Daphnia pulex: one gene and its partners. The protein of the gene in region 3 interacts with the protein of the main gene of each other region in a biochemical or structural test. Links are inferred from orthologs where the notes say so. Each region holds a gene or a part of one and is shown on either strand. Other genes may lie near its edges.

What was found.
Region 1: of the proteins of DDB1- and CUL4-associated factor 1-like (region 3) and uracil-DNA glycosylase-like, one has a biochemical effect on the other in vitro, tested with the Homo sapiens proteins (2 studies listed by BioGRID, with this or other methods). The link is inferred for Daphnia pulex from reciprocal best matches to the Homo sapiens genes DCAF1 and UNG.
Region 2: the proteins of DDB1- and CUL4-associated factor 1-like (region 3) and merlin-like form a complex in vitro, tested with the Homo sapiens proteins (3 studies listed by BioGRID, with this or other methods). The link is inferred for Daphnia pulex from reciprocal best matches to the Homo sapiens genes DCAF1 and NF2.

What each region holds. Positions count from the first base shown.
Region 1 is NC_060023.1:11,047,103-11,056,668, forward strand, and holds uracil-DNA glycosylase-like, read right to left. Parts: upstream 4,605-9,566; 5' UTR 4,432-4,604; coding exon 4,303-4,431; intron 4,241-4,302; coding exon 4,052-4,240; intron 3,979-4,051; coding exon 3,828-3,978; intron 3,755-3,827; coding exon 3,712-3,754; intron 3,650-3,711; coding exon 3,561-3,649; intron 3,464-3,560; coding exon 3,285-3,463; intron 3,218-3,284; coding exon 3,068-3,217; 3' UTR 2,748-3,067; downstream 1-2,747. Other genes in the region: probable ribosome biogenesis protein RLP24, read right to left, coding at 127-594, 653-733; lactosylceramide 4-alpha-galactosyltransferase-like, read left to right, coding at 1,458-1,613, 1,688-2,322, 2,378-2,708; ragulator complex protein LAMTOR2-like, read left to right, coding at 4,800-4,867, 4,947-4,982, 5,050-5,176, 5,236-5,382; BTB/POZ domain-containing protein KCTD5-like, read right to left, coding at 5,586-5,615, 5,675-5,794, 5,862-6,158, 6,218-6,415; beta-TrCP-like, read right to left, coding at 6,884-7,214, 7,276-7,353, 7,425-7,699, 7,768-7,902, 7,964-8,089, 8,154-8,330, 8,394-8,501. UniProt on the Homo sapiens protein: Uracil-DNA glycosylase that hydrolyzes the N-glycosidic bond between uracil and deoxyribose in single- and double-stranded DNA (ssDNA and dsDNA) to release a free uracil residue and form an abasic (apurinic/apyrimidinic; AP) site.
Region 2 is NC_060022.1:2,536,227-2,546,213, forward strand, and holds merlin-like, read right to left. Parts: upstream 6,346-9,987; 5' UTR 6,126-6,345; coding exon 6,039-6,125; intron 5,976-6,038; coding exon 5,846-5,975; intron 5,780-5,845; coding exon 5,574-5,779; intron 5,519-5,573; coding exon 5,394-5,518; intron 5,327-5,393; coding exon 5,224-5,326; intron 5,129-5,223; coding exon 4,919-5,128; intron 4,853-4,918; coding exon 4,746-4,852; intron 4,673-4,745; coding exon 4,543-4,672; intron 4,473-4,542; coding exon 4,341-4,472; intron 4,278-4,340; coding exon 4,026-4,277; intron 3,966-4,025; coding exon 3,649-3,965; intron 3,587-3,648; coding exon 3,427-3,586; intron 3,369-3,426; coding exon 3,318-3,368; 3' UTR 3,008-3,317; downstream 1-3,007. Other genes in the region: ATP-dependent RNA helicase DHX8-like, read right to left, coding at 1-2,708; N-acetylglucosaminyl-phosphatidylinositol de-N-acetylase-like, read right to left, coding at 6,901-7,008, 7,081-7,211, 7,287-7,383, 7,449-7,548, 7,626-7,719, 7,867-7,976, 8,067-8,302. UniProt on the Homo sapiens protein: Probable regulator of the Hippo/SWH (Sav/Wts/Hpo) signaling pathway, a signaling pathway that plays a pivotal role in tumor suppression by restricting proliferation and promoting apoptosis.
Region 3 is NC_060022.1:4,443,741-4,453,742, reverse strand, and holds the start of DDB1- and CUL4-associated factor 1-like, read right to left. Parts: upstream 5,198-10,002; 5' UTR 5,069-5,197; intron 4,892-5,068; 5' UTR 4,883-4,891; coding exon 4,770-4,882; intron 4,705-4,769; coding exon 4,557-4,704; intron 4,482-4,556; coding exon 3,803-4,481; intron 3,730-3,802; coding exon 2,801-3,729; intron 2,739-2,800; coding exon 2,490-2,738; intron 2,428-2,489; coding exon 2,206-2,427; intron 2,145-2,205; coding exon 1,989-2,144; intron 1,920-1,988; coding exon 1,606-1,919; intron 1,539-1,605; coding exon 652-1,538; intron 590-651; coding exon 1-589. Other genes in the region: rRNA N6-adenosine-methyltransferase METTL5-like, read right to left, coding at 7,516-8,069, 8,134-8,230; mRNA export factor GLE1-like, read left to right, coding at 5,600-5,807, 5,898-6,061, 6,125-6,340, 6,401-6,751, 6,848-6,998, 7,056-7,336, 7,404-7,462, 9,081-9,081 and 2 more. UniProt on the Homo sapiens protein: Acts both as a substrate recognition component of E3 ubiquitin-protein ligase complexes and as an atypical serine/threonine-protein kinase, playing key roles in various processes such as cell cycle, telomerase regulation and histone modification.

The DNA of each region.
Region 1 (9,566 bases), on a different chromosome or scaffold from region 3:
CATAAACAGAAACTGAAATCAACCAATAAACCGTCGATTTAAATCGCCACCTAGTGTTAAATGACAATACTGTATGTTAACGTCGAATCGGGAAAAATGTATTTTGTTTTTCGTCATTGCATTTTTTTATTCTACATCCATTTCTCTATCTGAATCATGAACTTCTTCAACAACTCGCGATTCCATCTTCTTGAATTTGGAGGATACCAATGACATATCTTTTTCTCCATCCAACTGTGTTGCTAACTGCTTCAATCCAGCTGCTGGGGACCGGATTAGACCCATGTTCTTGGTGACTTCATAATTATCGCTTCTTCTCTGGACTTCCTTTGATTTACTGTGTCTGTTGTTGATGTGCAATGCTTGACGTCTGCAGCGAATGATCTCAACCTTCTTCATGGCTTCCACAGATTTCTGCCACAAGTCCCGATCATACTTTACAGGAACATTTCTCCTCTTCTCAAATTCGAAAGACGGGTCGATGGCCAGATCTTTGCCTGCAGATTTACGGAAAGCCTTAGTCCATTTGGTCTTACGAGGATTCTTCTTCTTCTTGAATGCATTCTTGCATTTTGACCTGCAGAATCTGAAAATCTAGAACGCAAACATGAGTTAGAAAGTTTCACGGTGTAATTTATTTAAACCTTCTCACCTTGCAGTCATTTCGAACAAAAACCATTCCATGGCCAGGCCATATATTTGACGAACAAAAGTAACATTTTTCGATACGCATTTTGACGGAAGAGCAACCACACACAACGTGGTTTTTCTCTACCTCTATTTAGTGAAGAAGGACCGACTAAGTACTACGGATCAGTCAAGAACCTACTTCTAGCCACGTTTTTGCGGGCGTAGATTGTCAATTGTTTTGTCCTCTGGTTTCGCCGCCATTCCGCCAATCACAATTTTGATAAGACATGGAATTTCAAAAATCTAGATGGAGTAAAAACGTTAAATTTCAACATCACACAATTAAAAGCGCAGGACATTTTAATGTGGTTCCACGACGCATCTCTGAACAGAGCTATAGGCCTATAGCCCTTTAAATTCTTTGGATATTTACGACCTCGTTTATTTACACCGCATACACATCTTATCGTTATCTCAAGCCTTACCTTATTATCTAGCTACGAACTTTCAACGTTAACAAAAGCAAATGTCATTTCCATTTCGTTTGCTGTGTCGAGCTTGACCGTTCTGTATGATGGTCACACCTTAACAAGTGTAGAAATATTCAAGAATTATTATGGATCTTCTACTGGTAACATCTTGTAACAACACTAAAGAGTAAAAATGTGTTAGTTATTTAATATTGCAAATCAAGTCATTTAAATATTACTTTTAGGCTTAGATAAATTCCGGCATGAAACATCACGCAGAAGAGCGATTCAATTTCCTACACCAAAAAATTACGATTCTGTACAAACTGCTACTCGGATAACGTTTAGCCGTTAGATATGGCCAGAATTATGCTTAAACCATTACTTCGATGCATCTTCCGTAAAATAATGAGGATGGGGTTCTTACGGCGTCTCCTACTTACTTTTACGGTAGTGGGGATATTCATCTGCACAGGATATTTTGTAATGCAATCAGATTTTTACGTCAGATCGGTTAGTGTCGGCTTACCAAAAAGTTTAAAATCACCTTTAAAAAATTGGGAACAGTAAAAACATTTCGTTTTTAGATGAACCATCCGGTGATATATGTCTCGGGAGCTGATCGTGGTAGATGTTGCGTAAGCATCCATAACTCCTTTGATATTTGCGGCAGACCGGATTGCTTATGGAAATGTCCCTTGTTCGAACCTCAATTTCCACTTCCTCGACGTGATCAAGAGAAGGCATTTTTTCATGAAACCTCAGGTGTTCGGGCACTTGACTTCCGCCAAGCCTGTTCTGTTGAATCTCTCGCAATAATGAACCCACACTTGACCGTCATTTTGCTAATGAGCGGGAAAGATATTGATTGGAATTCTACAACTATGAAAACGTTGGGAAATTACGAAAACATAAAAATCTATAATATTAATTTAGGTGATTACTTCATACATTCGCCTTTTCGACAATGGTATTTCTGCTCTACTTGGAATTACGGTTCATTTGCCGTGTCTCATCTGAGCGACGCACTCCGGTTCCTAACACTGTACAATTACGGAGGTTATTACTTTGATTTGGATATAATAATGGTTCAACCAGTGACACATTACCGAAACTTCATCGTGGCGGAAAACGAGAAAAATTTGGCTGCTGGAGCACTTCACGTTGATTACCTACATCCTGTTATCCGCATGGCAGTGGAGGAGTTCCGAGAAACATACAGGTGTGTACACGAAAATTTCCCAAACTAGATGACTTAACTGTTTTCTTTACTTCAGAAAGGATATTTGGGGTCACAATGGCCCATTGCTCCTGACTCGCGTAATGACAAAATGGTGTTTGACAGAAAACATTGCCGAAATGAATTCTGATAGCTGCTACGGTTTTGAGATTCTTCCTCCAAAAACATTTTATCCAATCGAATGGCCTAAATGGTTGAGATATTTTTTGGAACAAGATATTACGTGGGATAATGACACAATTGGAATTCACGTATGGAACCAAAAGAGCGCTGGCCAAGCAGTTTCAAAAACTTCCGAACAAGTATACACCAAACTTGCTCGTTCCCAATGTCCTTCGATTTTTGCGATGGCTCCTAATGTGTTTTAATAGTTCGTATTTCTACAGCGGTAGAACCGTCTCTCAACATTTGGTTTCCTAATTCTTATTTTCAAGGTTCATTCTTCAAAGAATACAAGTTTTTCTTAAATACATAAATGCATTGCGCTGCGACTAAAAAATGCCAGCAAAACTTTCTAGTATCAGCATATCCATAATTGTTGTTGGCAATAGAAAATTACTGAAGATCCATCAGCAATTAACAAATTGTTTTTTTTTTAAATGTAAAATTAGTATTGCTCTTGGTTTAAGATGCATTGTGAATCGCGTTTTGAAACATGAATATCATGGTTGAAAACATTTGAGGCAAGAGTGAATGTAAAAACTGTTATAACCTGAGGTTTGACTGTTCACTCAATGGGGAGTTTAGACCAGTCAACTGGTGTTTTGTTTTGCTTGAGCAAAAGTTCATTACATTTTGAAAAATGTTTACATCCTAAGAATCCGCGATGAGCAGATAGTGGAGAAGGATGAGGGGCATTCAGCAAGTGGTGTTTTTTCTACAAAAAAAGAAAAGAAAAAAAAACATTAATTAAGCATGAAGTCGTAAACAAATGAATTGGTTACCTTGTCTACTACTAAAGCTTTCTTCTGGGCATATGCACCCCAAAGAAGGAAGACAACACCTTGGCAGTTACTGCTAATCCACTGGATCACGGCATCCGTCAGAGTTTCCCAGCCTTTGTCTTTGTGCGAATTTGCTGCGCCCGATCGGACCGTTAAGCCAGCGTTAAGAAGGAGCACACCTAAATATGTGAAATATCAATATAACAATTTTACGTGACTCTTATTTGAAGATTAAGACAAACGTTAAACTGTGATTGATTTTGTTTAAATGTCTACCTTGTTTGGCCCATCCAGTGAGATTACCATGTTTAGGAATATTAAAACCATCAATATCTGAAGCCAGCTCTTTAAAGATGTTTACCAAACTTCAAATAGTTTTGCAAAAATTAGACACAGTAGTTTTTAAAGTAAAAATTTTAAATATTACCTTGGGGGAGGAGGAACTCCTTTCAAAACACTGAAACACAAACCTTTTTATGAAACAAAAATGTAATGTCAATTCTTTATCTTAAAAGCCATAAAAGTAATTATTTTTTACTATACCATGAGCTTGACCAGGACCGTGATATGGATCTTGACCAATAATAACAACTTTGATATTTTGAATATCACAGAAATGGGTCCAAGACCACACAAGATGTTCTGGAGGGAAAATGGTGGACTTTGATCTTTCAGAACCCAGAAATTTACTAAGCTAAAAACAAAATAATGTAGGTAAATGAAAATAATTGTTATTCAAAGTTAAAAAAAAAGAAACATGTACATACTTCACCAAAGTAGGGTTTCTTAAACTCTGGCTCAATTGCTTGAAACCATGAATGACCAATACTATGGTGTAAGGCACAAGTATTCTTCGCTTGCAATTTTATTTTCGCTAACAAGTGGTTAGTGCCCATTCTTTCTTTTTTTTCAGGAGTAACTACTTCAGTCTTCTCACCAGATTTTTCTCCAACAGGCTAAAAATGAATAGACTTTACAAAAAATACCAGGCATGTATACACAGAACAAAAAAACCTACTTTGTTTTCAATTTGAACATTCTTGGCTTCAGCTGTCTTATTGCCAGACACAAGTTCTGAGAATGTACGCTTCACACCTCCACTTTGAAGAGGTTTAAAAAAATGAGTCAAAGGTTTTTGAGGCGGCATGATTTCTGACTTCAAGAAGCAACTTTAGTTCATTGTAATCATGATTGTAATTAAACACCAAAGTCAAAATAATCGGGCGCGAAATTCACCTTTGGACCAATCTGAAATGAATACATTAAGGCCACCTACAGCAGAAGAATTTGACAAGATTGAGTGAGAAAAAATTCCCTGGTCAACGGAAGGGGCGCTGCCGCTGCCGCTGCCTGAAGAAGAGATTGTCAGCCTGGCCTGGTTATGTAGGAAACATCCGCATTCATTTGTTTTTTTTTTTTTTAGTAAGAGACTAAGAGGAGTAGTGAACACTGAACAGCTGTACTCAGCCCTGACTCAGCTTGTGTCAAAACAGAAGATACCAACAAATCTAAAGAATGTTAAAACCAAAAGCTCTTACTCAAGTCTTGTCTCAAGCAAACACTGGCGGAATCTTAAGCACTTTGTAATATGGCGTGATACCTTAAAATAGTTAACGATTGTTAGTTATTTTTATTTATTTATTATCTTAATTTGTTATGCAGGCTTTTAAATACGGAGGGGGCGTTGCTAGCTTACAGGTGAGCAAAATGTGTTAAAATGTTTTACATTTGTTTATAGTGTTTAAACAATTTTGTGGCTTTCAAGTGGTTATGGGGACAAGGATGCACGAGTGACAGCAGCGATAGCTAGCAACATTTGGTCAGCATATGCTAAAAATGGGAAAGTTGCCTTCAATGAAGATGTCCTGGAATGTGTTCTTCTTGATTGCATGGTATTATTCAATTTAAAGTTTAGTAAACACAAATATTAATTTTGCCAATGCCTTTAAAGGATGGGAAAGTGGTGATTGCCCAAGTTGCTAATTTACTTCTATGTCTCTATGCTAAAGAAAATGTGTGTTTTGGAATGCTTCATGCTAAAGCAAAGGCATTGGCAGACTATCTTGATTCTCCTCTTCGTCAAGTAGCAGCATCATGAACATTTTTTTATAATACAAATTTGGATCTCCTAAAATTTAATGAAGCTGTGAAGCAGAGTTGTATTGCACTTGTGAATAAAAAGCAACACTTGTGAACAAGAAGTGTCAAAATGGCTGCAACGTGGATAAAATCCCACAAGGCTGGTTCTCTGCATAAATTTAGTTCAGTATTTGGTTCCTGGTACAAAAATCCCATAGCTTATTACATTCTTAACCCTTTCTGCTGAAGCACCTAAATAAAGAAACAACATTTTTAAATGCTTCCATCAATAGTAAATTGCAGATACTTACTTTGGCTCTATCAGTAGGCTCTGTTTCTCTTTCTCTCTTGTCACACTCTCTTGATACAACACACAGGAATTCTGAATGGTCTTCATTCCCATAAGAGTACTGTGACCCAACATTTATTAGCTATATAAAAAAAAGATTAGAATAAATAGTCTGTAGTAACTAATAAGATTGTCTTGTGTGTACACACCTGCTCAAATTTCCATCCATCAGACATAGTTGAAACCATTTGAGTTAATTCATCCTCATGACACTGTAATACACGGTAAACTTGCTTCCTACTTTCCTTCTGTGGTACCTCATCTCTTAGTCTTATTTTATCTCTAATTAACTGGATGAGTTCAGTAATATTATAGAATTCAGCTTCCTCTAGGATTCCTTCTTCAGCCAAGTTTTTATCAATAACTAGTTTGCTATGTCTCAAGAAGTTTAATATTGGTGAAAAATAAGTAGGGTCCCGATCAATCATGAAGGCACCTGTTTCATCCTAGTTTAAAATAAAGAGCATAATTTTCAAGTTAAAATTGAGGTTATATAAAGTAATACTTTATCTGAGGCAAGATTGTTGTCTTCTTGACAGAGTCTGAAGAAAAAAGACTTTGGATCTCTGCAAAGGGTTGTTCGGGTGGTAAGGAAGTGGTGACCCCCCACATTCAAACGTATCCATTCAGACTTTCTGCTGCCAACCCACTTTTCTGAAACGATGTTATTTGCAATCCCGTTCATCTCCGGACATTCAGCCATCTCTAAAATACATTTTAAAAAATCAATTAGTCGCGTTCAAACAACTTTTTTCAAACAATAAAGAACCGTTGTTATCGACTGCTAACCAGCATATGGATTGTGACTAAAAGTCATCAACAATTCTATTCTTACACTCTCAGTCACGATTTGCACAAAAGAATCACCTACCAGTATAGGACTAAAATAGCGAGTTTCACAGATTCAAATCGTTCATTAACATTTGGTTTCACTAAATAAAAATTCGACGCACAAAAATGCGAAAATATACAACTTTGAATCGATAAAGATAATCGATTATCGAAGCAGCCGTGGTGCCATCTAGAGGAGTCTCCTTCAATTGGGTTGAAATGAATGAATGAATAATTTTCTTTTTTTAATTTTTTTAATTGAATTTGAAACAAAACATTTAAACAAAATTTAAAGATAATACATTTTAAAAATAGAATAGCAAAATATTCGATTTGAAGCTTAGGTTTCAAAATGATTAGTAAAGTCCATGAAATACAACATTGGTACTGGCACTTCACGCCTCTCATAGTCAAAATCCCATGTAACAAGGCATCCAATCTGATAATCATCGACAAAAACTTTTAGCTTTTCCACCGACGTGTCCCGAATACCATCAACGCTTGCTTCGTGCCAAGATTGAGTCGATACGCTAAACGTAAAAGTTGGCTTCAATGTTTCTTTTTGAGAATTGATTAACGACTCAAGATCCCAAACGTTCACCCCTAACAGGAAAAAGTCGGAAGACCAACAATTCACGTGGCAACTAATTATGTATTTTTCGCCTACCAGCCTGTAAAAAAAAAATGATAATTTTAGTGTTGATTCGTTAGAAAGAAACAACAAAACATTACCCAATGGTTTTGATATCTCCATCGGTTTGATTCATTTGGCATTGTCGAATGCATGTTCCAAGTTCGATGTCCCATAAACTAAAGGAAAAGAGAGTAAGAGAGTAGCGTATGAATAACAGGTAGCAATTACGCTTTTGCGCGAATCTTACCTGATTTGTTCACGGCCAGCAATAATAATCCACCGATCGTAGGGTTGAAAACTTTTAATAAAAGCTTCGGATTCGGCGATGGTATTAATCAGTTCAAGCGAACTTGCTGATCGAACTTGAATCCCTTTATTATTGCCACCTTGTAGGTAAATATAGGAGTCATCCATTTGAACTCGGCGCACATTAAACTGGTGAATAGTCTGTTGGTGCGTTATTTTCCACTCTCGGGGCGATATTATCTTCCGCAACGAGAGGGTTTCGTACTGACAACTGTTCTATAAGTGTAAATTGAAATACATTAATGATTCACTCACAACAGTAAATTAGAATTATGTTAAGTTACGTTGGTAATACACGACAACAGCGTTTTTCCTGATGGACTAAACCGCAAGTAACTGCAATCCACCCTGCTTGCCATGACGTCCTGAGCGAAGCTTTCACAGTTTAATAAGGCTGGATCGTCTATAAGTTTGTGAAGCTTCCGCATTCACCACTGTTCTTATTATTGTGGAAATGATCAAAATTAAAAGTCCTCTTACCAATTCTTTTGTTTTCATACAAAATACGAAGATTTTTCCACGATTGCATCCAAGAGCAAGATATTCGCTAGTCAAATCGATAGATTTCATCATAGCTCTGTGACTATCGACTCCAATATCGAAAATCTAATATTCAATCAATATTCAGCTCTAAATGTATGGAATTTACAAATGAAGTTTCAGTTATTACACTTTCCGACTGCAAAGTCCATCTATTAAAGATCTCGATCGTCTGGGGACTTTGACGTGTTACGATGTACTGGTCGCTCAGTTTTACTTTGAAATTTAGATGCTCTACAAATCCTGCATAAGGCAATTTTTTTACCCGTTGATAGGCCGTCTTTGTTATCCAGTTTTTCTCCAGAGACTAATTGAATTAAAAATTGGTGTTAAAATTGATACTTATTTACGGGTTATCCAATGTCCAAACCTTCAAATTATCCCGGATATTTCGATAGAGATCAAGGTAAAATTCTGAATAGTTGTCATCCTCTGTCGTCTCGGTTGCGAAACCTTTCTTAATCAAGACTTTGTACATTTTCTTCCAATTTACCTAGTGAAACCTTAATTAGAATTGAAGGAAAACCTATATGATTTGGAGCAAGTAAAATTTTACGTCTTTATCAAGAACAATTTTCCAAACTCTTGCATTGTCGACTGCCTCTTGCCATGCGGTAGAGACGGAACGTGCGTTGAGTAGACCCAGACAATCCACATTCTGGAATATTCCTTTGGCAATCAGATCAACTGAATGCAAACAAAATAGAGTATTTAAAAACAAGGCTCATGTAAACTGAATACCACCAAAATCTGCATAAAGGTTGACAAATGTAAAAAGTAAAAAACATTAGAGATGTTTTTGTCATCTGAATTCCCTAGCGTCTAAAGGGGTTCAGTATCCGGCTAGAATTCTCGCGACTGCCATGAAATTTTTCAATATTACTTGAAATTCGTAATATAAACAAATGTACATTGCTATGTTCGGTATGACAGACACACAAGAGTTTGCCTTATAAGGCGTTATGAACGAACGAACAAAAAAGCGTTCACGTTTCGTACCTTGAAGAAGAGAAGTAATATCGACGCTAGTACCTCCGTCACGTAAATTGTATGCACAGGCATCCACAGTATTTTCCTGCTGATTGACGATCATTTCATTAGAGTCAGTAAGTTGTCAATAAACTTAAACAAACAAGACAGAAACTTAGCAAAACACTGATTCTCGAACTGTTTATAAATAGTCGTCAGTCCAACGTTGCCACGAAAACGTTTTCCAACATTTCTCGTTTCAAAAACGGAAAAATCAAATAAAACCGACAAAACCAGAGCTCTGACATAACCATCGTTGGTTCTTTTACTTATGGGACGTTTACTCACTAGATTTTGTTATTTTGCAGTTCTGCCACAGTGATAGCTCTTAGTCTGCGGTCTGGTTTTCAGTTTAAACTTTTAACCGCGATTAAAAAGTCTTCCGGAAAAAACAATAATCAACGGAATGTATTATTATTATTATTTAAATTGCAAAAATTTGATAGTCTTTTATTAACATTACATTACCCCAGATTTGAAAAAAAGTTGAAACGCATGTTCAATCTTCGTTTCA
Region 2 (9,987 bases), about 1.9 Mb from region 3:
GTCTTTCCAGGTCCAGTACGACCGGCGCGACCAGCTCGCTGCTTGGCTTGCGCCTGTGAAATGGGTGTCACCACCAAAGAGTCCATTCCGGTCTTGGAATTGTAGACTTTCTGCTTGACAAAACCAGGATCGACGACATAGTAGATACCGTCGATGGTAAGACTGGTCTCGGCGATGTTGGTGGCGATAACAACTTTTCGGGAGCCTGGTGGAGCCGGTTCGAAAATTCGAGTTTGCATTTCAGACGGTAGAGCGGAATAGACGGGAAGAATGATGAGCTCAGGAACGTCAGGGCCCATGGACTTCATGCGCTCGTATAGAATTTCGCAGGCAGTATCGATCTCTTCCTGACCAGTCAAGAAAAGAAGAATGTCGCCCGGTGGTTCGTTAAGGTGGATCTGCATGACGGTAATGAGCGAGGCATCCAAGTAATCCGTCTCAGGTTCCCGAGTATACAATATCTCGACGGGAAAAGTTCGACCCGGAATGGTGAAGATGGGCGCCTCGAAAAAGTACTGCGAGAATTTCACGGCATCCAAAGTGGCCGACGTTACGATGAGTTTGAGTTCGGCTCGCTTCTGGACGGCTTGCTTGAGAAGACCGAAAAGAACGTCTGTGTGAATAGTTCTTTCGTGGGCTTCGTCCAACATGATGCAGGAATACGATTGCAGATCGGGATCAATCAAGCATTCACGCAGCAACATACCATCCGTCATGTACTTGATCAAAGTTTCAGGACTGGTGCAATCTTCAAAACGAATCGTGTATCCAACTTCCTGTCCTAGACGACAACCAAACTCTTCCGAAACTCGCTTGGCAACGGACATGGCGGCCACACGACGAGGCTGCGTACAGCCGATCTTTCCACGAGCCGTGAATCCGGACTCGGATAGATATTGAGTGATTTGCGTAGTTTTTCCCGAGCCCGTCTCACCGATGACAATTAGGATTTGGTTGTCATTGACAGCTTTGATCAGTTCATCTCTGAGTTTGTAGATGGGAAGTGATTGACGTTGCTCGACGATGGACAAACTAGTTTTCTTGCCGAAAGAGGCTCCTTTCGGTCCACCAGTGATGTGCTTTTTCCATTCGGGCATGTCGTATACAGGGGCTCCCGTTCCGCGACCCAACGACGTTGACGGTGCAGCCCCAGCATCCGGCATGGGATCAATCCAGGTCTTGTTGGCGCCTTGAGCCGGTGCGTCAGCTGCTTCTTGTTCTTCTCTGAGCAACATTTTCTGTTCGCGGCGTTCTTTGCTGAGAGCGCCTTGCATCATGGCGGCTTGAGCTAGAGAACCGTCGGGATTCTTGACGATACGAACCGGACTAAGTTCATTAAGCACTCGACCGTGACCTCGAAGAAAGGGTGCCTCTTCTTCCACCAACTCGATTTCGATATCTTCTTCGTCTTCGGCCAGCTTTGGCAGTAAACCCGTTTCTTCGTCGAATTCGGGCAAGTCCATTTTGTCGATACAATTTGCTGCCATCATTTGCTTCAGTTCCCAGCGTTCAGGAGACGAAATCCGTTGCACACGCTTGCGGTTGGTTAGTTCATCCTCCTCTACATTTGCCTTCAAATCTAGCAATGAGAGAGGTCGATCTGGATTCCTTAAAGCTGTTTCACTTTCCTGGCTGGTTAGTCCAGGGCGGCTTGACGTCGAAGGAGCTGGGTTCAAATCTTCGCCAGTGTCTTGGTCCACATCTTTCATAGAAAGAGAGATCTTTTGGCCAGCAATGCTCATAACTTTGACATGAACCTTATCTCCACGATTGACAACTTCAGCCACACTATTCACACGGCCTTCTCGTCGCAACTGGGAGATGTGCACTAGACCCTCACATTTTTTCCGTATTCCTTCAATTTGTACAAAACAACCAAAAGCTGCAAGATTCATGATTTTTCCCGCGTAGACATTTCCCACTTCTGGATTCTCTGGAAAATCTTTTTGAGGTTTCTTTCGACTTGGGGATTCTCGTCTGCCTTCGTTACTTCTTTTATCATGATGACGATCACTTGTTCTGTTTCGATCTCCTCTATCTGTACTCCTGGACCTGTGACTTCTGTCCCTGCTTCTTGATCTCCTCTTTTGATCTCTGCTTCTTGACCTTCTACTTCGGTCTCTGCTTCTGGATCTCTTGCTGCGGTCTCTGCTTCTTGATCTTCTGCTGCGGTCCTTGCTTCTTGAACGTCTGCTTCTTTCCTTCTTGTCTTTACTCCTTGCTCTTTCCTGAACAGGCTCGATTGCTTCAGTAGAAATCTTTTCTTCTTTAGGAGCCATGGCTTCTAGTTCAGCCATTAAATCGTTAGCTTCTTCAACATCTTTAATAGTCAATTTTATGTCTTCGAGAAGCATTGTTCTTGCCTTAGGGTTATCTGCTAAGGCAAGACCAGGGAAGAGTTCCCGTTTCTTCTCTGTTTCTGCATTGTAAACTGTTTTCTTTACCTGGGCTAAGTTCACATCAGTTGTTTTCGAGTTGGCTGATTTCATGTGTTTGATAAGACGAAGCAAATTTGCAATGAGAGAGTCTGAAAACTCGGCGCCATTCTCCAGCATTACACTTTTGAACTCATCAAAGGTCTTGTGTTTTTCGGCCAATGCGATGATGAACTCTGCCAGATCTTTATCGTTGAGTCCCAAATGGTTTTCCAATTCTGTGCACACCTTAGAAACAAGCGACAGGTGTTCGAGTTTCTCTAATTCATCCATGATGATATAGGATATTTTGCCACTTATTAAATCATTTACAAATTGACAGCACAACAATTGGGATGGCGACGAATGTGGAAATTGACGAGCCGACGAAAAAACGAATGCTTTCGTTGTTAAGACAACGTTGCAAGAATGCTGTAAAAGAAAAATCAAAATTAATAGATGAACTGGCAACATTGCGCGCAAAAAATATTTACATTTTTTCGAAATGAATTTGTTAACTTTTGCGTTTCACAGATTGAAATGAAGAATTATCTAATCTTTCTCGGTTCTCTGCATTTTGTGTTTGAATTTGAATGAAACTTTTCCATGTTCATATTGAATTGGTATTCTAGACATACAGGTTCATTTTGCAAAATTCATATAAGAATGTAAACAACGCCGATGCTGCTACTAGTAAAAGACATTACTCATTAGTCAACAAGAGTTAAGTTTTTTTTAAATGAAAGTCTATTTGTCTAATGTCTATGATGATAAGATTTCACGAAAATGGGCAACTTAGTGAATTAAAGATTATAAACTAAGTTGCATCCATGAAAATGGTCAGCCAATTTAAAATTTATGTACAACACATTGTCAAAAGTAAAATTAAAAATATGACTTAAGCTACAGCTCTTCGAAAAAGGCCACGCGCGCTCCAGTCGATCCAGATTTTGACTAGGAAAAAAAGAAAAATTAACTCAAATTTGAATTAATGACTCTCATTCATGCGTACCTTTTTGAGAGTTGAGTATTTGTCGTCCCCTGAACGGAGTTGCTCTTCGTGTAGCTGATCGTAAAGCGTTTGTTTTTCACCTACTTTCAAGACTTCAATCTCTGTACGCAATTCTCTCAGTTGCTCCTGCAGTTGCTTCGATTTTTCCAAGTATTCGACTCTAAATTTATTTTAAAAAATGAGCAAACAATTACGCAACAATTCCTACGATAGATTTACAACCTCTCTTTCTCAATTTCAAGTGAGAGTTGCTCCATATCGCCATGTGTCATAAGGTCATAGTTGGATGAAGAGTTGACCAGTTCGGAAGCAGCAATAGCTGATAGATATCCACTACTACTTAAGCCAGTTAAGTTGGTGAGGCCAGTAAGCTGATTAGCCAGCGGAATAGGAAGGCGGGCCTCATAAGCCGGCAAACTTGCTTCGTTAGAGACATCGTCGAGTCGTCGTAAATGTTGCTGAATGTCCGACTGATGATGTAAATGGTGGTCTGATCCAGCTACCGACGAACTTGATGTCGGAAACAAGTTGGGAACAGACTGAAAAATGGTAATTGTAGTTATTCGCTCATTAAAATGTTGACAGAAACTGCAAAGTACCAGGACAGACGCGGACGACGGGATGCGTGTAATTGGACGAGATGCCGAGTGTAAGGCTGCAACACTAGCTTGTGTTGTTAAAAACTCTAGTAGCTTCTTTTTGGCTTGAGTTTCAGCGTAACGGGCCTGCAAAAGGTCACCTTTTAGCTGCTCTGCTTCTGCTGCACAACGCTCAGAATTCTCTAATAACCTTGAGGCAATTTGCTTCGCCTCATGTAATTGTCTCTGAGACAAAAGTTTTTCCTCTTCGGTCTAGACGCAAAAAGACAATTAAATGTAAAGCTACCTAAATAAGTTATGAAAAAATTCACTTACTTTCATGGCAGATAAACGAATTCTTTGCAACTCTTGTTCAGCGTCTGAGGCTTTTTGAGTTAACAACATTGACTCTTCTTCTGCAACTCGCGCCTTTTCGGCCAGCAGCTCAGCCGACTCTTCGGAACGCCTCTACAAAATTGGTATAATGAAATACTGTACTTGATACTAAAACTAAAAATTAAACTGAAGAATATCATACCAACTGTTCGTTCGCTACACGGAATTCTTCCTGAAAGTGAATTAACTGTTGTTCTAGGGCTGCTTTTTCACGTTCAGCTGTTTCGCGTAGTTGCTTCTCTCGTGCAAGCTTATTTCTTTCACTCTGTCGTCTGAAAAACGGTAAAGTAACCACAATAAGAACTCAACAATGAATAAGACAAAACTTGTCAAGGTCAAATTTACCTGAGTTTCTCTTCTTTAGCCTGAGCCTTCATTTGCTGAACTTCAATTGAATCCGGTTTCCTCCGACGCATAAAGAGATCATGATTTCCAATACACAAATCTAAGATCTAGACATAAAAATGCGGAAATAAAATTCGCTATCCTTTTTCATTTATGTAAAAATCATGGATTACCAATTTGTTGACTCGATGCTTATCCGAATAGAAAATAAAAGGGGGTGCAGTTTTGTCGACTGGTTTAATGGCAAACTTTTTGTCGTCATAGCTGATGTTTTGGATCTCTGACCAGGGAAAGTTAATGCGCGGTACGGATTTGTTATCCTGCTCGTAAATATTCAGACCGAGGGCCGTAACACCAAGCCACAACTCGGAATCCCTTTTATTCTGTTCAAATAGAATAATAAGTTGTAGATTAAAACAAGTTAACAATATGCAAGATATACACGCATTTTAGTTTTAGCTAGGGTTTCTAAACTCACTTTTATAGGAAAATAGTTAACGCCATACATTTCTAAATCCTGTACGATTCTCAAGTACTCCATTTCAGCCTCATCACGACTGAGACCTTTATGATCCGCGTACCTATATAACATAAAGTAAAGTCTTAAGTCTATAAAACGGTTAAAATGGAAATGATGATCCTTATTACCAAATTTTTATTCTTTCTTCCCACATTTCAGCTGTCATTTGATACTGATCAAGAACTCTCTTAGGCAGTAAGTCTTCTGTACCAAGGAGACCAGGTTTCATGGCTGCCTCATCATAATCACCATACTAATGGGAAGGAAAAATTAATTGTGGAAAATCACCCAAGATATAATAATATTACCTTGGCTTGCAAAGCATATGAAGCAAGCAAGACTGATATTTCAGGAGGACAGTATATATCCATGTTGAGTATACTCTGCTTTACTTGCAAGAAAAACAAATGTTGAGTTATTTCTTGAACCAGCTCTTCAGCCACATTCTCGGGATAAAACTTAGCCAAAAATACAAAAGGCACAGGAGTTGTTTTGGGCACATCTTGGTCCTGAACTATAGATATTATGGCCATACAAACAGTTATTAGGTGAATGACACATAATAAGCATTAACACTCACCTTTTCTATCCATTTTCAACCACGCCAGAAATCCTTTGCAGTCTTCATACTGTAACCCAAAATACCAGGTCTCCCTTAATCCAATAGTTCGACACACTAGATCAAATAAATCTCTTCCATTTGCTTTGCACTACAAGAGTTATAATTGTCAGTTTTTTACATGAACATGATTATGTGAATAAATAATACAAACCTCTAGGTTGAATTCAAGTTGTGCGTCTAGGGTAAGAATTTTTACTGGAAAACATTTTGACGATTTGTGCTTCCGGCGGAAATTCATTTTAGCACACCGAGACCTAAACTTAATCAAACAAATCTAATGCAAAAACTTATAAAACTTAGAAAACGTCTTCATTTTGATTCATTCCATTTGTAGAATCAACACAGAATTAACAAATACTGTTCTTTCAGCTGATACAAAACAACGGAAAATGAACAAAAACAGGCTTGATTGCAGACGATGGGATTTTCCATCTATTGACTATTGCCACAGTGCACAGCCATCTGGACCCTGGCGGGACAACATGAAACTACTGGCGGGAAATCGTTTTTTTTTCTTCAGTTTTATAAAAAGAAACATTTCATGTCTGGTCGTCACAAAATTACAGCGTAAATGTCATGCTTTAGAAAATAGTTGAATACATGTATAGTAGGAGTATGACGAATTTCAAAATTGTATTATTGTTCACTGCATTTTCATTCAAATAAAAATAATACATTACGTGCACTGTTGACTTCAACCACTAACATCTGATAACATCAATATTTTAAATTTTGTTTAGTAAATGCAATAAAGTTAAACACAGCAGCCACGTGTGAGAATTCATTAGGGAAAAAAAAACAAGAGCCAACATACCCTTTTTTGTTTATGTTACACACTCCAGAGAAAAGACTAGGTATTTTGTTAAGGGAATTATAAACATCCATAAAATTGAAGGGATCAAAAAAATCTGAGTAAATTTACCCGTGTCCAAAATGCATCGAATCGATAGGATTTAAATTTTCCAACCACCGCACTTCCAGGTGCATATCTGAGACAACAAGCAGTAGCTAAGCTAGTAAATTTCAAGGGGAATGAATGTGTTAAAGAATAAGTATCTTGAAAAAATGATGTACAAACGGCGAAACCAAACATATTGACTAGCATGAGCTGCCATTGCTCTCTAAACGTGAACACATAATTAATTTATTTAGCAAAAGTCTTAATTGACATTATTAACTGTTTAAAAAAATACCTGAATGTTCATCCTATTAACCCAATCGGCAGTACAGATTAATGCACTAGGTTTGATTAAAATCGAATCAATAAATCCCAAATATTTTCGAAACAAACTGACCGTTTCCAAAATGAAAACTCGGACAGTAACTGTTGGAAAAATTAAAGACGATCTTTTAAATATCAATACATTTAATTATGCACACTATAATATAGTTTAAATACCTCTTTTTTTGCTTTCTTTCTTTAATTGCAACACCCCCTGATAAATCGATTTATGATTTAGGTGGCCACTGATTCCATTCTCATCAAAAGTTATGAGCTATAAAAAATTGCATTAAATTGTATTGTTAGTTAAGCCTATTAATCTATTCCTGAAATACTTACACTGTCAATTTTCAATTTTTCAATGTAGATATTCAAAGTATCTGCAACTGATTTGAAATCCCACAAAGAATGTGGATCATCTTCAAAGAAAGGAGGTCCACTGTTCACAGATAATGTAGAAATTTAAGAAAATTTAAGAAATTTCAACAATTTATGAATGTTTGAATGAATTTTTACCTGTGAATTATAATATTGGAATCAGCTAGTCCAAGAATCTTGCAACTTTTTTTTAGTTCCTCTCTCCTTGTTTTACCTAAGCCATCAGCATTGCCTTGAAATAGTGAATTTCACACATTAGAAATATTGTTATAACGTTTGAATTTAAGCACAAGTAACGAACAGACAAGTATATGAGTCCAAAGAAAAAGCTATAGTTCATGTAAGCGTATAGTAATAGTGATATGTAGTATTGATTTACCATCACTCAAGCAAAGAATGTAAATATCCTTTGCTTTCTTTTTCCTGGACGAAGAATCACTTAATGATGGTTGGACTAGTGCTGTGATGGCAGGTCCAAAAAACATGCATCTATTATACATGCATTCATAAGTGCATAAGAGAAAAAAAGTTAGATTAAGGTATTCCATAAAAATGTATATCTCAATTAACAAAACATACTCGTCGTCCGGATGAGCAATGACGAACAAGACATTGCTAAGCTTTTTAAAGAAAACTTCTTTAAGAAACAAACTTTTCTTTTGACTCAAATATCGGTAAGTGAAAAAGGAAACGAAAGTCCAAATTCCTAGTATAAGTAGTAAGTACCAACACATTTTAAAAATAAATATAAGTAGATAAGCCGAAATTGCTCTTCGAAATTCAAAAATACACAATCCTACAGCAGACGACAGCATTCGTTTTACAGCTGCTACCTGCTAGCTGTTTAGCGACTTTAGCCTAATGTGAAAATAAAGAAAATGAAAATTTGAAAACTTATTTCAACAACAAAATAGACCATGCTAATCCGCACAAAGTTTCTTTTAATTATCCTAGTAGCACAAATAAATAATTATCCTAGTAGCACCAAAAAATTATGAGCTTATCTTGCAACTCAATTTCACGTTTTACTTCTGCTAATTTACATCAAGATAATATGCCGGCCGGTATACTTAATGAAGAGCTACTGGCCGTGATGTAAGCCTGTAAGCTTATTTAACTTGAAAGATAGTTGCCACAATCAACAAATTCTCTTCTAATTAACGAAGCAGAAGCAACGTTGCAGATGAAATTTCTCAAACAAACAGCTAACGATTATTTACAGACTACTAATGTAGCTACGTTTTAAATCACGTATTATGACAAGGTACAGTGGTACAGTATATTCCGTGTGTTGTCATGGTTATAGACTTATAGGCTCGCACTTTGTTGTCGTTATGGACTATGCGCCACATCCTTTGATAATCAAAATGTTTACTAAAGCAGGTGAAAGATGAAACAGAACGAGTAGTCGTGGGCGCTTCTTGACTATAAAGATCAGAAATGTGCAGCAGGAGTCTGAGTATGTTATGGAAAAGCAGCGCCACTTCATGCTAAACATTGTATTTACATTCAAGGAAAACTGCGAGCAAACTTCTTAATGACTGCATTAGCTAATCGTGTATTTACACAAGAGTAATTCGCCTTCCTAAGTAGTCCTAACAGTATCAAAGCATCTAGTTAGGATCAAAACAGTCATGTGCTGTAAAAGATTAAAAAAGCTACCCTGACAACTCGTTGCTGTCGCTAGGCAACAGCACAGTATAGAAATAGTAGGCATATACAATTTTTCTTATCCTTTTTTCCCTGATGCAATAACTCGAGTGATTGCTGATCCAGTCGGATCCAGCGGTGATGTAAAAAGTACAACCCAACTTCTTCTTTGTCTCTGTATACTTTAGTAATTGGATATTGTCATCGCCTTAATCTTTTACATCTTTTAAATTGTTATATCAAAAGGTGAAACAAGCTAAAACTGGTTAAGTAATACTTTGAACTTCATTTTCAAAATACGTGAGCTATAACCTAAAAACAATACAAATATGGCGATGTGTATAATGCCATCGGAGAATTAAAAACGGATAAACGCTAGAGCCTTGCGAGTTTGAGTTCACGAGGGACTGCTGTAGACATACAAAGTTATTGATTAAGTTATCACATGAAAACAAGAGAATGCTATGACGCTATGTCAATAAGGTGTCAAAAAGGCTAATAGCTAAAGTAAACTATTGTTTGTTCCAGACAGTTTGGAGAGCTTAAAATGTAAACATTTTATTTGTTCGTTTTTTTTTTGCCTCCTTGACGTCACTATATTATATCTAACAGTCTACTCTATAAGCCTCAACGTTACAAAGGTAATATACTTGACTTTTTTGAATGATGCATGAGGGGCGTGTTACGTCCAACTCCTATGGGATGCACTTTTGCTGTTTAGAAATTTTGTTAAATATGAAAAGAAGGTCAAGACATTTCAACTGTTCAGTACCGTGCAATAAAAACATCACTGGCTGTAATACGTTGCTGCAGCATTGTCTAACTCAGTATGGGGATGGGTAAGAAGAAA
Region 3 (10,002 bases):
CCAAATTGTCCGTCGTCCGATGAATCGCTAGAATCAATATCCACGTCGATACCATCTTCATCACCTCCGCCGTTAACCAGTTCATCAAGCATTTCTAAATCGTCGTCCGAATTTTCAGATGCACCTCCATCGTCATCTCCTTCCTCTTCCTCCACTTCTGATCCGACGTCTTCATCATCACGTAGCCTGCCCACGTCGTACAGCCGGACGATCGATTCGCTTGGAGTGTTAAACTCTCTCGAGTTCTCCACAACGGCTATTTGTGTGTCATATTTGTTGGAACACAGTCCATAGATACACCGTTTGACGTCAATCGTAGCAATAGAGGAGTAATCGCCGGCGTCTAGTGTCTTGAAAGAGGAATCGTACATCGGTTCTTCTCTACTCTCTTCTTCCAAATGAACTGCGTAAATGACGTCACCGGAAGCTGAAAATGTGACTTGACACTGATCAAGGGTTGGAACGGTTCGTAGTAAATGATATGTTCTGATGTCCCAAACTTCTGAACTTGAGATGATTTCCAATCCGTTGGGATGAAAAGTTCCACTAAGCGACTGATTAAGCTTATCAAACTTGTGAATTTGTGTCCCTAGATTATGGAAAAATAGGATTGAACAACAGCTCGATACGCATATAAAATAGAATAGTTACCTGATACGGCGTCCCATAAAACACCGTCAGAAAGAATCAACTCATCGCTAGGATGAAAGGTGGCACGGTTCTTTGAATAGTTGTTGGACGTTGTGGGAGTAAGGCTTAACAATTTCTTACCAGTGGCCACATCATATACAGTGGCAGTTTCGCCTTTAGTCCCAACAATTTTATCTTGAACTGTCTTACTAAATTCGACGTATTCTTCCTCCTCAAAGGAGTACTTCATGTCGAAAAAGTCACCGACAGCCCACAGGCATGAATAAGGGGGTCGGTACATTCCTGACGTTAGTAAAAGGTCACCAGTCCAGTTTGGTTCAATGTTGAAAAGATAGTTTTCATGGCATTGGTATGTTGCTTCTTCTACAGCTGTGTTGACATTGTATAGCTTCAACTCGCCCGTTTGGTTCCCGATCATAAGAAATTGCTCACACGGTGAAAAAGCGCAGCAAGTAAACGTTTCAGAGTCATTGCGAAACGTTCTAACAGGTCGGAAGCGAGAGTAAACCAATTTGCGGTCCATTCTGGCTCCATCGAGACCACCAAACCGAGGATGGATGGCTCGCTTTTGAACTCTTAATGCGAAGTTTGCTGGAGCCGTGTTCTTTGATTTAGCATCTGGACATTTGTGGGGTTGGAAAAGGTCAAACTGTGGACAAGTCACCATCGGTGTCTTACACAGAGCATGCTGATTCATCAAGTACTCAGTGACAATTGCGTCTAACGACACGCCACGAGATGTTTCACCAGTACTGACGTTAGCAGCTCCGAGTGATTTGTTCATAGTGGTTGGCGAATCCCAGTTAGTGACTTTTTGCAAAGCCCTGTGCTGAGAATTAACACCCGGTTGAGGGCCAGGTGAAGGCATTCCTGGTCTCAAACGCCTACTATACGCAAAAAAGTGAAATAAGTAAACAAAAAAAATAGATATTTCATTTTTATAGCTCTTTTCACCTGCTAGACAAATTCACTTTAATTATTCCCATTTGTTGCGTCGGCGTAGATGTCGAGGGGACTGCAACTGGAGTACTAGGAAGTGCTACAGCTCCTTGTGAGTTAACACGTCCGGTCCTGCTTGGAGTAGAGGGAGTATTTCCGGTAGCTCGATAAGGCGGGAAGTTAGAGCTGGCTTGCTTTAGAGGAAGTGGAGGGAGTCCAGCTTCTTTCATTAATATTGAAGCAGATTCAACCATGTTCTTGCTTAACAGATGCTGGTGGATCAACTGCAGTAACTGCTTTTCGTTAAACTGGATACGCGTCTGTGCAACCTGATGGAGCACGACATTTCAAATACTTGAAAAACGGAAACTTTTCTTTATTATAATTATTTTTCATACCACATCTGCTTTGTGTATCTTGGCTAAGGATAACTCAAATTCGTTGACATTGGACTTGATTCGACCGGAGACTTGTTCCAACAATTCCAATCCAAATTTCTGGAACTTGACGTGCTCTTGACGTTTATCTTGCAACACTGGTTCTCTCATGAGAACCTGAGACAGAATTTGGGTTGATATTAATTTACAAAATAAGAAATTATTTTTTATGATTTACCTGCAATTGACCGCTGGTGAACAAGGGTAGTTTACCCATGATTTGGCGAGCATTTTCGCTGCGTGCAAGACCTAACAAGGCCTTACAGGCTAAAGCGCGAATCGAGTCAGCATCCGTAATGGGTGTTTTAACAGATAGAAGGTCCATTAACACCATGATTCCATTGTGGGATCGTACACACTCCCAAACTTGGTTGAGAACCTCTTCGCTCGTTCGACTAGCCTATACAAAGCACAATGCGTAAATACATAAATTCTACAATAAGAAAATATCATTGAAATTACCACGCTGCGTCTTTTGGCACTGCCATTAAATCTACCGACAGAACCTCCAACTCGATGGACGGGAGCACAAACGCAGTGAATGAGTACGCAAAGAGCGGCACGCTGAACTTCGGGGTCAGCTACAATGTCTCCTTCAGCTGCTCCAAGTAGAATATTAATGCCTACAGCATTGGCGTCATCCGGAATTTGAATACGATCACAAAATAGCATCTGAACTCTGAAAGAAACAGAACAAACGGCTAAAACATCCTGCAAAATAAAATAAAATATATTTAATAATTTAACTTTAAGAATATATTTAATTTCTTTACCAAAGCGCTGCGAACAGTCTCGGCACGTCCGGTAAAATTCCATAGGTAGGATATTGCAATAACTTGTAGAAGCAGAGGGATACCCCCGAGGCTAACAAATTCATTGACGGGTGACCAACTTGCCCGAAACGGAAGCAGTTCTTGAGCAGTGGTGATTAGATCGATAATTTGATCTGCATTAAGCTTGATTGCTTTGTAGGGAGGTGTTGACGGATGGGGAGAACCACCCATTTCACGAACTCTGATCCGTTGAAGATGTTCAACTTTCCCAGCCAGATGAATTTCAAAGTATCGTTTTAGCGCCGCACAGACGTGTCGAACGGTTTGGCGTGCAGCATGAGATTCGTCATCATCCAACAAATCACTTGCATCTTCCATTGAAAGTATTGACAAAGTGCTGATCATATTGTACAACCGGCGAAGACCATCCTGGGCGTCAAACTGTTCCAAAATAATGCGGAACTGAAACGATGTCCCAAAGAACATGGTAGCGTGACAACGTCCAGATTCGTGCGAACACTCCAGTAGCCAAAGAGCATATCGGACTAGCTCTTGAATGACGTGATCTGGTAAGAGACAGACTCGCTCCATGGCATCTTCGCAATACGCAATGTAATAAAGACACATGGCAACTCCAGTTGCAGCAATGCTCGGCCGTGGAATTTCAAGTAAGCGATGCAATCCCTGATGATGAATAAACTCGATGGCAAATTTTTTGTGACAAAGCAGTGCTCCGAGATATTTAAGTGCTTCGAACGATAAACGCGAATCTTGGGTCTCGTCAAAGTCGATGTAGTTAAGAATAAGGTCGAGCGCCTTTTGCTCGAACATGTGAACTAGTAACTCTTGATATTCACCCATGGGTGTTAAATATCGCAAGATTAAGATTTGCCGAGTTGAGTCCGTCAATGGATGCATTTGATACGTTCCTATAAATAAAGTAAGAAGTGTTAGTTTTTTAACTTTACAGACACACTTGTTGCATGGAGAATAATCTTTTACCGATGACGTATGATTCCATTTCGGCCCAAGACGAGTTGCTAGAATCATTCATAGCTGATCCATTCAGAGATGCATTTCCACTTTTTCTCTCTTTGGAACCTTTAATCCTGCCTTGAAATTTCTTTGCTTTGTTATTCTTTGGCAATTTTCCTTTATCGGAGGCTCCATCGGCCGGTTCTGGTCCAGGCATTAATTCAGCATCTTCATCCTTTGGGACCTTTGAACTGGAAGATGCTCGACTCTTACTACTCGCCGTATTCTTTGGGGTTTTGCTCGAGGTACTCGGTTGGTCGCTTGAAAATTTTGAAAATCTTTTGATTTTTCCGAGTTCGTCATTTTTCTTTTCTTCGGCACATCTCTTTTGGATTTCCCATAACCTTTTCAACATTAACGGTGCTAGATGAGCGTTTAACTCACGAAAGTTAGCAGCCAAGTCTTGTAGTTCCATCGCAGCAGCTAGCAAACCAGTAGCGTAGCTTTGAAGTGGTTCTGGACCTTTTTCTGCCCAACTAAAAAGTCTGTTGATCAATCCTTCTGTGTCTTGAAACACCACAGATACTTCTAAGCCTGGCATTAAATCTAGAACAAGACGAGCTGCAGCTGTATTGAGTTCCCTTGAATCTCTGGTAGAAATGCCTAATCTGGTCCAGTAAGTGTCACGTAAATAGTCTCCAACTAACTAATATTAAGAAAAATGAAAAAATAGCATTTATATTTAGAATGAAGATCAAGGCCAAGTAAATGAAAATAATACTTTTTGCATAAAAATTTCCTTCTTGAATATTATTTTAAGCATGTGTCCAAAGCTGCAATTTGGATTCCTAGAAGGGTTACGATCATCAAAAGGATCTGGATCCATTTTTAGGTAATTTTCTGTTTCTGTTTCCAAAAGTTCAGCCAGTCTTGAAAACAAAAATTAACATGATTAAGAAAAAAAAAATCTTGCAAAAAAACAAATAACACATACCTAGAAAGATAGGGAACAGGATCAAATGTTGGTGCTACATGATGTTCCTCAAATAACCTCAAAATAGCACTGACATCTGACATTTCAGTCAGATTTACGGTGTCGTTCGCCATACTGGATGACTTAAATGTAAATAAGAACAAATTAGCTGAAACTTATCGACGCCAAAATGAAACACAAAAGGACGTTTTTGGAACCCAATCACAATTTCACAACACGAGTAGAATAACTTCAATGGGTCACAAATCTTCACCATAAGTTAAAAAAAAACTATTGCATTATAAACAACAAAAACTCACCTTCGAACTGTTACGTCTATCTGAAACTACAACTTCCCTTATTAAAATTAAGTTTCTTTGAAATTGCTGCAGAAGTGTGCACCACGTTCTGTGTAATTTCTATGTGCAGACTTGAGAAAAAAACGTTGTCAGATTAATATTTTGGAAAATTCTTGCGAATTCCATTGTTTGCTTGTTTGAGGAAGTTAGACCTCCAGAATACAGATTTAAATGATAAAATTATAGCTAAAATATTTTTAAAATTTCTAGCAAATTTTCATATTACAAATTGAATGATATTTCTCACAATTGGATTTTTCAATAAACTTGACAACAATAGCTTTTCTTATGGTTACCTAGCGTGCTTAAAAAACTGTGTCTGCTTTTGTCGTCCTTTTTGTGAATCTTTGTGGACGTTTTTTTTTTACGATTGTTATGTGACATTTTCTTCAAATATTTTGTGGTTTGAACTTTGAAAGTTACTCACATTCTTGTCGTAAGTGTTGACACGTGTCGGATCAAAACGTCGGGCATAAGAGGAATAAAGTAAAAATGGCTGATGTTTTGGATATCTTGGAGCTAGGGAGACCGGGAACTCCAGAAGTGACGAAAGAAAGTATTATGGGAACGCAAAAACCGAAACCTAAATACAAACCTAAAAATGAAGTTTTACGTAAACCTGAGGGAATGGCACGAGAACTTTTCAATCTTTTGGTCAATGATAGTAAAGATGCAGCTCCTCTATTTCCAACTGACACAGGTAACAACTTTGTCTGTCTGCAATTTGTGTGCTTCCAGTAAGGGAAAGAAATATTTGTATGCCAAAGATTTCATAAATATTTCCAATCAGGTAAAGGATACAAGCAAGCAAAAGCTCATTTAGGTGTCCGTAAAGTGAGACCTTGGAAGTGGATGCCCTTTACTAACCCAGCACGGAAAGATGGAGCTGTATTTCACCATTGGCGTAGAGCTGCAGATGAAGGGAAAGAGTATCCATTTGCTAAATTTAACAAGGTTGATTTCCATCTTTTTTAATTGATTTGAAAATTTCTTTTATATAAAAATATTTTTTTTTAGCAAGTCCATATATTTTCTTACACTGATCAAGAATATCAATTACTACAACTTGATAATTGGACAAAGCAAGAAACAGATCATTTGTTTGACCTCTGTCGGCAATTTGATCTTCGTTTCACCGTTATTCAGGACCGCTGGGATAGTACACGATTCTCAAAAAGGTCAATCGAAGACTTGAAGGAGAGATATTATGATATCTGCAACATATTAAACAAGGTAAAGGATATTTGTGTCTGTGTTACCTAGTAAAAAAATAACTGTATATTTTTTTTTAAGGCAAGGCATACAACAGGACCAGAGCCAAAGAATATTGCTTACGATGCCGACAATGAAAAACGTCGTAAAGAGCAGTTAAAGAGGCTATTCGAACGTACGTCAGAACAAGTCGAGGAAGAAGCTAATCTACTCCAAGAATTGAGGAAAATCGAAGCCCGCAAGAAAGATCGAGAACGAAAAACACAAGATCTCCAGAAATTGATAACAGCTGCGGACAGCGGAGGTTCAGCTACTGCTGCTGCGGCAGACCATTCCCCTGCAACCCATCGAGGCACACCTCCCGACAAAAAACAACAAATTCGAAAGAAAAATACCCCATTTGCTACACCTAAAGCAAAACTTGAGCTCCTGGTAACCAAGCTTTATTTATTTATTTATTTTTTTATAATAGTTTTTCTTTGTTTAACTCATTAAATGATGAAATTTTTCATGAAATTTAATGAGCAGCCCTCCGTGGAGACACCTAATAGCGGAATTAAGTTTCCGGAGTTTAAAGCCAGTGGTGTATTTTTACGCTCACAGCGGATGAAGTTGCCGCCTAGTGTGGGCCAGAAAAAATCCAAAGCTATAGAACAAATGCTAACAGAACTGGGCTTGGGTACGACACACATTTCATATTAAAATTTGCATATTAATATTTTATGCATTGATTTAGAATTAAATCCAATGCCAACCGAAGAGATTTGCCAGAACTTTAACGAGCTTCGGAGCGATTTAGTCCTTTTGTACGAACTGAAACTAGGTCTCTCAACTTGTGAATACGAATTACAAGCTTTACGACATCAATATGAAGCTTTAGCTCCTGGAAAAACACTAGAGATCCCAGCCTCATTGCTTTCCAATAATGATCCAGCAATCCCAGCAGAAGACGTATCAGCCCGGCCCAAGGCCTTGTCTGAAGTTATTGACGTTGTTGGCTCTGCTGCTACACCTATGGTACGCTTTAAAAAAAAATCAACTCAGCAAAACAATAATTGAAACCTAAATATTTTCCCTCTTATAGCGAAAGAGAAAAGCGGCCCTCGAACAGAACAACATGTTGAAGAAGATAAAAAATCGCATGTGATTGCCAATCTTTTATTTTATTTTCTTCTCTCGATTGATTGAAATACAAATTAATTTTTCTTTTCAAACCTCCAAAAATCCACTTCTATGTCTACTGATGATTTGTTGTGAAATTTATATGTTGCTGGTAAATCGTAACGGAGCTCGGCCAAAACACGGGCGTCCACTTTCCAGCCAGGGGCTTTTCGATGAAAATAGTCTCGTGTCGAAGACTTGTGTAGAGAATACAATACGCCTTTTTCGTTGAGGCATTGAAGTCCAATCTCTAAAAATAATGAATCTAATCCCTTGTTATGCTTGGTTCCAAAAGGGGGATTCATAATGACTGTGTCAAATTTTTTGGTCCCTTCCAACATTTGAGGTAAAAGCTTCACATCTGCTTGAAGTAAATTGATTTCACTTAGTTCGAATTGACTTATGTTAGATGTTGAAATTTGCAATGCTTCTTCATCAATATCCACTCCTAAAACATACGAGGCTCCCAATAACACTGATCCAATTCCTAAAACACTGCACCCACACCCCAAATCAAGCACAGTTTTCTGATACAGATCTCCATAGGCACTTTCAATGGTGTGCAGCATGCAAGCAGCAATGTGAGCTCCTTTAAATATAAAACTAAGTAAAGTAAATAATATTAATAATAATACTTGTTACTAAAATAATACTTGTTTCATATTGCTCAAGAAGGATTTTTGGCTTTGAAAATCCATCTAGTTCTTGAAGATGCTGCTCCAACTCTTTTCTTTTCATTAATTTTGCCATTCTATTTATTTTGATGGTTCAAGTCTGGGAATCACTGGCAAGATAAAGTTTCCAAAAGATGAATCTTGTGCCACAAAATATCCAAACGAAGAAGTTTGGGCTTGAGTTAATGCATGGCGTATTGCTGGGTTCAGTGAATCAGATGTACTCTGTGAACACAATTTTAAAATCAAAATGTGAAAACAAAATCTTTGCACTAATATAGTTACTTACAGGTATAGCAGTTGAAACTGGAGCAGGATTCAGAGTGACAGCTGCACCTAAATTTAAAGAAAAAAAAGGTTACTACTAGTTTTTTATTATGAATTTTTAAAAATACCTTGTTTCAACAATATTTTCTTTTGCAGTTGAACTTCTTCTAGGACTTTACGGCTTTGATCTTGGTAGACGAAAGAGCTCATTAGGTTATTGCTGTCAAAATATTTTGCTTTATAATTGAAATACCTTGACGAGTTGCAGGAGGTTGAAACGTCATTATCTTCTACCGTTTAAAAAAAAATAAGAAATAGCGTGTAAAGTGTAAACGCTAAAGCTTGAATGACAATTGACAAATTACTTGTTTCGCTCGCTTGTTTATTGAAAAAAAAAAGAATCTGTCGCTGTGCTGCTCTGTTGCCAAACCATTTAAAACTAGGCTGGCTCGTTGGCGACTTGGGTTTGCGTTCACCCAGGTTCAGCTTTCTTTTTCTTTTTAATTATATTACAATATTCATAAAAATAGGCAAATCAATAACCAAATAAGTATTTTTTCTCACTATTTCAACGACTATTTCATGCTGTATAAGGCAACGGTGCACCGCCTTCTTTTGCAGACGACAACTTTCATTTCAAATAGGAGGAATTCTTGTAGGGTCCTGTCAGAGTAATTTTTTCAAATGCGAACGGGCATACGAAGCTTTTTACAATTTTTAAAGTCGATATTTGTGTGTGACTCTTGTTCAGAAATGAATGACAATAACGAACATGGAATGGCTGAATCTCCTTTGAGAGAAACTGTCGCATCGTTAAGTAGGACACCGAAGGGACGAATAGTTTACGATCGTGTTCCTTTGCTACCCATCAATCAATCGACATCAAACAGTAAATCCGGCGTTCTCCTGTCTGAGGATGTATTTAGTCGGAATCCTGTGGATTTTCCAGAAAAATCTATTGACAGTCAGCAATTTCCACACCAGCCAACTTTACACCATTCATCTCTGAGCTTAAATAATAGATCAAGCTTTTTCATGGACTTTCCAGTACAACATACTGAAAAAAGAATAAACCAGTTTAAATGGCAACAGGAACTTTTATTGATGCGTAATACCAACCAGTTGGATGAAACTACACCAGTCTATAACCTGAGTAATCACATGATCATGCAGCTGTTTGAATTGAAGGAGGCACAACGTTCAGTAAGCTTAAACTTCTCTATATATGTTGCTTTACTTTAGAAGCTTTAGTGCAAGCATTCAATACTTCATCTTTTAATGATAAATGTGTGTACTAATTATTTATGTATTTTAACTTTCAGTCTGTGGCATCTAGCTTCATGAAAAAAATGGAAGACTTCAAAGAGTCTTCCCGACGAAATGATGATGAAGAATGTTTGCGAAAAAAACAAGAATTGGAGGAAAGATTGGTGCCAAAAACAGAGTCCCAGATTGATGTCGAAATGACCATACAACGCCTTCAAAACGAAGCGAGACTACGTATTCAACAGAAAGAAGACCAAATAGATAAAAAACTTAGAGAAGTGCAGTCTATTCAGGAAAAAGAGTTGCAAGAAGATC